Linked DNA regions of Bombyx mori. The protein of the gene in region 1 binds, or shares a complex with, the protein of each later gene. Links are inferred from orthologs where the notes say so. Each region holds a gene or a part of one and is shown on either strand. Other genes may lie near its edges.

Evidence for each region.
Region 2: vam6/Vps39-like protein (region 1) and vacuolar protein sorting-associated protein 41 homolog share a complex: the UniProt entries of both Homo sapiens proteins name them as parts of the homotypic fusion and vacuole protein sorting (HOPS) complex. The link is inferred for Bombyx mori from reciprocal best matches to the Homo sapiens genes VPS39 and VPS41.

Annotation. Positions count from the first base shown.
Region 1 is NC_085124.1:8,481,836-8,485,671, reverse strand, and holds part of vam6/Vps39-like protein, read left to right. Parts: intron 1-514; coding exon 515-664; intron 665-1,227; coding exon 1,228-1,355; intron 1,356-2,269; coding exon 2,270-2,467; intron 2,468-3,664; coding exon 3,665-3,836. UniProt on the Homo sapiens protein: Regulator of TGF-beta/activin signaling, inhibiting SMAD3- and activating SMAD2-dependent transcription.
Region 2 is NC_085123.1:777,485-781,967, reverse strand, and holds the start of vacuolar protein sorting-associated protein 41 homolog, read right to left. Parts: upstream 3,099-4,483; 5' UTR 2,874-3,098; coding exon 2,441-2,873; intron 1,074-2,440; coding exon 1-1,073. Other genes in the region: DNA polymerase nu, read left to right, coding at 4,362-4,483. UniProt on the Homo sapiens protein: Plays a role in vesicle-mediated protein trafficking to lysosomal compartments including the endocytic membrane transport and autophagic pathways. Acts as a component of the HOPS endosomal tethering complex.

The DNA.
Region 1 (3,836 bases):
TAGTAAATGTAACATTCCAATTTCAACAACTAACAATTAGTCCTATTACCTTAAAAACTAAAATTTTCAAAACTTCGATGAATATAAAATGGATATAATAATCATGAAACTGAACCGTAAAACTATTTTAAAATCAATTCTGCAACAGGTGATGTAACAGAGTGTGTAGTAATATTGTGACCCTTCACTTTTAAAGAGGTAACACAAAAAGGAATACACTCAAGTTTATTATTTGTAGGAAGTTACATACCTAGGTAGGATTGATATTATGAATATATTTATTGGCATCTTTTAAAATACCACAATTTACCAACCTTAAAGTAATAAAGTAATTGTAAAAAGTTAAAGTAATAATAAAGTTGTAAAGTTTTAATTTAATTAAAGCCATAATCTCCTTAGAAACATGTGATTTTTGTTGTATTTTATTATGGATAAGATGTATAAAATCACATCATGTTAGAAGTAACCGTTACTATCCACAAAATCAGCTAACATTCATATTGTCATTTTACAGAGAATAACCTATTATTAGGTACGAGGCAAGGCCATTTATTGATGTACTCTTTATCAACAAATAATGAAGAGCAAAAGTATCAGGTACATTTGTTAAGATACAGGAAGAATTTTAGCAAAAAACCTATTCAGCAAATTGAAGTTATACTGGGTATTTATATTATTGTTTTAGTCAAATTATGTTTAAATAATTTTATTAGATGATGTTATAAGTAAATTTGGTATTAGAGAACAGGTTGTGCTTTACATACTTATGTAAAAGGATCCTGCAATAGTTTATACACTCTGGCTATATGAGTATATAATCCTGGTCTTTTCTGGCAATTATGATTGCAATCCCTTAACTCAATTGCAATAGCAGTACCCAATAATCAATAATCTTTCTCCTTCCCAAATACTTTCTGTCTTCTATCTTAACTTTAAATTTACAGGTTAGGTATTGGGTAATCAAATTGTATTCACTCCATTTTAATGCGTATTTTTTGTCTGTAAGTGATAGTGATCATTCACTCGTGAAAACAAAAAAATAAATAAATTTATATAATTATGTGTCATAGTGGTTCTGTGAACAAAGATTCTATTGATTTGATTCATACTATAATCTTTTCTATAAGAACATTTTAGTATCTGATTATTGTGGTATAGTTGCTTTCTCCTATACTGCAATAATTTTTTTGGAGCTGTTACTTATACAGTAATGTTTTTGCATTTCAGATGAAAATCTATTATTATGTCTGACAGATTCTACACTAGCTACATACAACATTAATGGTGTTAATTTTCCATTAATAAAAACTTTTGAACAGACAAAGGGTGCTTCACTTTTTGCTTTGGATTGTAAGGTTAGATTCATTGAAATATCTAGCTTTCGCATTAATTCATTACTGTTACTGACATCAAGAGATTTGTTTCACCCATGGTGCCATATCAGATTGAAGACTGGATTTTTACCAGTGTAGCAGAAGAGATTATGAACCAACTGCCAAGTGTTAAGTGGCTTCTGTTATGTACACTGCAGCATGAATACTGTTGTCCACCTGTAGAAACAATCTGAAAGTCTGAATTTTTTTCAAATCATAATATTATATCATTTTAAGTGGACATGGCAATGACCATGGCATTCCCTCAAATTTGAGGGAATCGTGGGAATAATTAAGTAATGTAATAACATAGGGATAATAATTCTGTAGAGGGATGAGATGGAACTCATGGCAACTATACTGAGATCTTAGAACTTATATCTCAAGGTGGGTGGCGCATTTACGTCGTAGATGTCCATGGGCTCCAGTAACCACTTAACATCAGGTGGGCTGTGAGTTTGTCCATCCATCTAAGCAATAAAAAAAAAAAAATGAACGGTTATTCTACTATATCTAATCTTCATGTTACATAATCCATATTTCATTTATAGCTTCTTTATGTTCAAGACAAAACAGTAAATATTTGTTGAGCAGTTTCTCTTCTTATAACTTTCCAATAACCCTTTTCTATTATATTACAAAAATCTATTCATGGTTTGGTAAAAGTATTTAAATTTCTTTTATTTTAAAACTTTAAAAGGTTAAGTTAATAAAAATTTATAATAACATCATGGAACTGACATATGTTATATTTAAAATAATCCATTTCACTACTGCTGCACATTCGCTAGCATTAAAATTGTAAGATTATGAAATGTGGCATTCTAGTATCAATCCATTGTTACTGCTTGGTAGAACACTCATTAGAATTCATAATATTACTATTCAATTTTCAGGTTTCATCAAGTAATGGTGCAGCGTCATCTGATGTTCGTCTTTGCGTTGCAGTAAGGAGGAAACTTCAAGTGTACTGCGGGAGTAAGGGTGAATTTAAACACATGCTAGATCTAAATATACCAGATGTACCAAAAGTAATGGCCTGGGGTCTGCAGTATCTATGTGTGGGATTTAAAGCAGAGTACACCCTATATGATGTAAGCAAACGAAATCCAATGTACAGTGAAAAGCACGAACCAATGAATGATTTGTTAAATATAGCTTTTTTTTATTGCTTAGATGTGTGGACGAGCTCACAGCCCACTTGGTGTTAAGTGGTTACTGGAGCCCATAGACATCTACGACGTATATGCGCCACACACCTTGAGATATAAGTTCTAAGGTATAGTTACAACAGCTGCCATGTTTGTGTTTGTGTCTATTCTAAATCTAAATGAGGACGATGCTGGTATTACTTAATATCCAGTTGGCTTTTCGGCTGTATTTTTTTTGGCCCAAGTACACCTTAGTGCCAATAGTACTTTATTAGAAGTTGATCTTGAATATGAAGTAAAAATATAAAGAGAACTCAATGTTATGCTTGTTGTTTATATAATGTTCTATGGTCTAAAAAGGTTTTTTACATTAATTATTGAGTGATTGGTACGACAGAGTTGTTATCCTCAAGTAATTAGATAAAAAATATGACAACTCAGAATAATCATATTGTCTAATAATCACTGGCCATATCTATAAAAGTCGATATGTTGTATCTAAAAATAGTTTGTTCCCTATAGGGTCCGAAACAGCTGGACCGATTTCGACGACATTTTTAGGAAATCTTAGCGATCGGATCAAAGTAAAATCAAAGATTTAGAAATATATATGTATAAAACCAAAAATGAAAAAAAATGTAAATTAACAGTTAAATAATTATGTCTCTAAATAATAAAATTAGAGAATGTAGGCATTATGTTACGAGGTAGTCTGTGAAAATGGCCATTGAATTTCATACCTCAGTTCAAGCGAGCTCGCGCCTCGACGTGATGATGGCTGCTTTTTGATACGAAATAAGCAAAAAGATATGAGTCGTCTATTATCAAAGGTGGCAATCTGTGCATTTGGACAAAAAAAAATTATTGATATGTCAATACAGATTGATTTGAATATATCGTCTCCTTCAAAGAATACGGTTCAAAACCTGCATTAAATAAAGGTTAATAGTTAACCTGTTATTTATCTAAGATGTCGTTCCGAAGAGTTTTGTGACTGCCAATGGAATACAAAGTGAATAATTCGTTTTTCTGATTTACCAATCATTGTCCAAAAGTCAGATTGCCGGCTTTGATAATAGTCGACTCATATAGTCGATTTGCATAGTTACATTCTGCATACCATTTTATTACATTTTTCAGGTGTCAGATGGAAAACCAAAAGAACTATTTCCCACAAGTAGTTCTAAATCATTAGAGCCAACTATTTCTAAGTACACAGAGACATCTTTCCTAGTAGGACGTGACCAAACATCGGTTCTTATAGAGGAGTCTAATAAAAATGTCGATATAAAGAAAACTATTAAATGGAAGG
Region 2 (4,483 bases), on another chromosome or scaffold:
TAACAAATGTTCGATTACTTTGTTTATAACGACGCTCGTTTTGTATAGAGTTGGATTCCATTCTTTAATTATTTTTAAAAATCCTCGCGAATCCACTTCGAGGTATTCGAAAAGTATTATTTCGTATATGTAAGGACTTAAAGCTTGTTCAGGCGTCTTCGGCACGTAGGGACTTATAGTTCTAAGTTGTTTGACGCCGGCAAACTTTAATATTTGATTTTCTAATAAAACTTTATCGTTTTTAAATATTCTGGCACAGAGAATGGCAGCCTCTTGATAAAGATGTTCAGAGAGCAAGTGATCTAAATACTGTACGCCCACCGTCATCACGGAGTGCTTAGAAGTTTTACCACCGACCTCTTCCAACACGGCAATAGCTTTTTCGAACCTTCTATGTTGGGTCAACCAAGTGACTCTATCGTCAATGTCGTAAGGGCTCGCTATGATAATGTCTTTGGGGGAAACAATAAAAAATCTGTTTTCTTCTATAAGCATATCTAAATGGTAATCATTACAGTTATATTCTTGGTAGCCCCTTATGTCTAAAGTCTCCCAAGATATCTCGCAGAATTCGCAGCCTTTATAATTCGCCACTATTAAAACGGGCATTTGCGACTTTCCGGTTTTAGGATCGCATTCTTTTGGAACGGCTAATAAAACTAATAGATCGTCCAAAGGGCCCAGACCTCCTATAAAATAATCTATTTGGTAGGTATATATTGGATCCACGAGGTATTCTGTGACATCACGAGTCTGTAATTCAATTTGACTTCGCTTTCTAATGACACATATCCTGATGGTATCAACCCAGCCGATCATTAGAGTCTTAGGAGCAGACCAGAGAAGATTGCAGCGGTAGTCTTCAATAGATCTATTTAGGTTCTTTTCCCATTGGATGAGACCTAGAGAGCATTTAGCAACTAGGTCATAAACACGGACCCCAACTTCACTTGCCCATGCTACAAACCTGTCTTGCCAGGACATGGCTTGTACGTTTCCCTTGCATTCATGTAATACTGTAGTTCGTATTCGATTAAGGAATGATTTTTCATATAGTGTCAATCTGTGATCACCTGGAAGAATACACATGTTATAATTTTGGATGAGCAAACAAACTCATAACTCACTTGGTAATTTAGTGTTTACTGGAAACTATGTCACGATGTCACTATCGTCGTACCTCAAGACATGAGTTAATAGTCTTAATGGCATCGTAATATGGAAGTTCCTTCCTTTAACACTGGAAATCACGAATGCATCATAAGCAGAGAAAGGACAAAACGATTAAGGGAAGCATAAGTTACGTACTATGGGTGAGTTTAGGGAAAGGGAAGGGAACATCCACAAAATTTCTGCCCGAGTTTGCCTTTTCATAATTTACAAGCAAAGTTGCGAAAAAATAAAACGATTTGAATTATGATCTGAATGTTGTTTATATTTATATTGTTTAATGAAGTGAAGTTGTACGTTCAAGCCATGTATGATCAGCTCTAGAATCACATGTATGCTTCAAGTTTTATAATCTTTTGAACACATGTCCTCTTCTCGCATTAAAACTGTATAATTTCAAAACTAACTAATTTTATAGGAGAGTGTTTTAAAGGTTTAACATGTAATATTTTTAATATTAATCATCTTTGCAACATTTTTTTTTTTATTATCAGTTACATTATCTGTCTTATAAAGTAAGATAAAATTATGTATTGATTTTATTAATAGTAGTAAAATCATAGGTAAACTAAAAAAAACTAAAACTAAACTACACTCTTTTGACAGTATTTATGAGAAAAATACTGGTGATACCAAATATTTAAGCATATTAACTCAATTTCGAATATTTTTGGAAATTGTACACTTTTAATGCAAAAAGTCAATGTATTCAAGTCAATAAAAATTTACTAGGCAGAGTAGGTGGATTTATACACAAGTTATATGGTTAATGTGTAATGACCTGGCATAAATGTAGTTGTGTTTTTTTATCTAACTATAGTTTCATTTTAAACAGTGATATTGTATACCTACCATATATTTACAGAATATTTTTATAGATTCATTCATTTTCAATAGATTCATTTTGAATAATTTCAGATTTGTCTTTTTTACTGGTGGTGGGACCTCTTGTGAGTCCGCATGGGTAGGTACCACCACCCTGCCTATTTCTGCCGTGAAGCGGTAATGCATTTCAGTTTGAAGGGTGGGGCAGCCACATTCATAATTCATTTACAATTAACATTCATAATTCAGGACATCCTTATCTGGGGCCAGATGTGTGTAATTCGTTCTCAATTATTTAATTATTACTACAGAATAAATTCATTTTAAATTCGACATTTATATATTTTATTGACTATTTATGTACTAGTTTTTTACATAAGACTTGGTTATGAGGTTTAAAGGATTTCCTAAATATTCTATTCATACTAAGTACAACGTTTTTTACCTGTAAGAAATCTTCTTCCTGAACCTGACTTGAAGTAGCAAGGATCCAATGCAACTGATTTCACTGCCCTGCCTAAATTTAGGTTGTGCGTGTTATCATTACTGTACAATCCATATACGACAACTTTACCATCGTCTGAACAACTCGCTATGTAATCCCCATTTTGGTCTACAGATATTTGGTTGACAGCGATAGTATGAGCCTGGAATTCAGTCTTCCCGTCCTGGGATATAGCAACTATGTTACCTTCGTGATCTAGCAGGTGTATCACACCCCAACGTGTTCCGATACAGATGAATTTGGTGTGAACACAAATACAACTGACAGCGTCTTTCAGTAAAATATTCAATAAATCATTTTCCATTCTATCGTATTTTAGCTTCGGCTCCTCATCGGGAGGCAAGCTTTCGCAGCTCTCAATATTAACAGCCATTGTTTTGAATTTCAACCGTTTAAAAAAATCACATTTTAATAATAAAAACGTAATTCTTCTTTCGTTTGTTCTGTTCTGCACTTTTCTGAATTTGATTATTGTCTTTCTGATTTTGACATTTAACTGAATTTGACAAAACAAGTTTTTTTTTTATTGTGGCTTGCACGGTTTGTGAAACGATAGCTTATAGTAGAAGTCCCATTTTCCATCAGGTTTGGCGAAGGTTAAGGCGATTACCATACACTGTAATCTTTTATACATGACATATATTCTGTTATCTAAAAATGTTATGAAAAAAAAAGAATATAGGTGAAATGATGTGAAATTGATTTATTTAATACTGTAATGGATTGGGATGAAATTACAGAAATCGAATTCAGATGGGATGAATTATAGTCGTAGTAAAATGGGAGTTTCTTTACTGAGATTATGTTAGTGGACTTTTTAGTACATGCTTCGTCTTTTTTTTATTTCAGTGTTTTTTTTTTATTTTCCCGCATTTTTGTGCATTTTTACAGATCCTAAACAGCTATTAAACCACCGTTCCGTTCCACCATCGTAATCAAATATTAAATAACAAAATCAAAAGACTTAGACTAGACTTTAATTAATCCTTTTAAGTGGATTAGACCCAGCAGAAAAATCCAATCCAAAGAAGTTCACAATGGTAGCATCATTCAGCTCCATAATTATATGAAGTAGATAATAATATAACATGAGTACATCAATTCATGGAAGAACCGGAAATTACCTCTTACAGCACATATATTGCATGTATTTTCGTAAATGCTAAATGGTTTTTAAGTCGCTATTGTAATTCATTTAACCTTAGAGGAACACTAAATAAACAAATAAAACAATTCACCTAGCATCGCTCATAGCGAGCCTATCAAGATTTAAAAAATCATTTGGTTGTCTAACTTATATATTTATATATGTATTAGAAAAGTATGAAATGTGTATTTACCGCTATCAACAGAATATATAAGATCCGTCAATATTATTTGGTTCGAATCTAATTAGCTTTTTAGCGATACGTAAGGTGCGAGGTTGTGTGAATTGTATTATTTAAAAATGTTTCTGTAAGCATAAACGATAATAATGGTAACTTGCTGGACGTTGTCTCACGTTCTTCCAAAAGGTCCACTGAATTCTCATTGATCAGATAAAATAGTCTTATAACCACTATTTTACTGAGTTTTTATTTCATCTCTTCTCTTTTCGTGTTAATTAATTTCATCCCAATTAATTACAGTTTCAAATAAAGCAAATTTAATTCATTTTTTCATCATTTCATTTTCCATTTATCAGAATATGTATCTATTTTTTAATTGAAGATTTTTATAAACTTAACATTTAAATTTTTTATAGACATTGGCAATAATAGCATCACCAGAATTGTCATAATTTGGCCTAAAGGTAACGAGGCTATACCAGGCCACAAGCTCCAAAAAATTTTTTTTGTCTTAATTAAAAAAAAGCAGTTGAATGAAAAAAAAACATTTGGCGGGAAACCGAAAAGCAGTAAACATGCAGTCTCAATTTAATAGAATTAATAGATTTAATCCTTTTATTTATGAAAAGCATTTGACATCGTTTGGTAAAAAAGT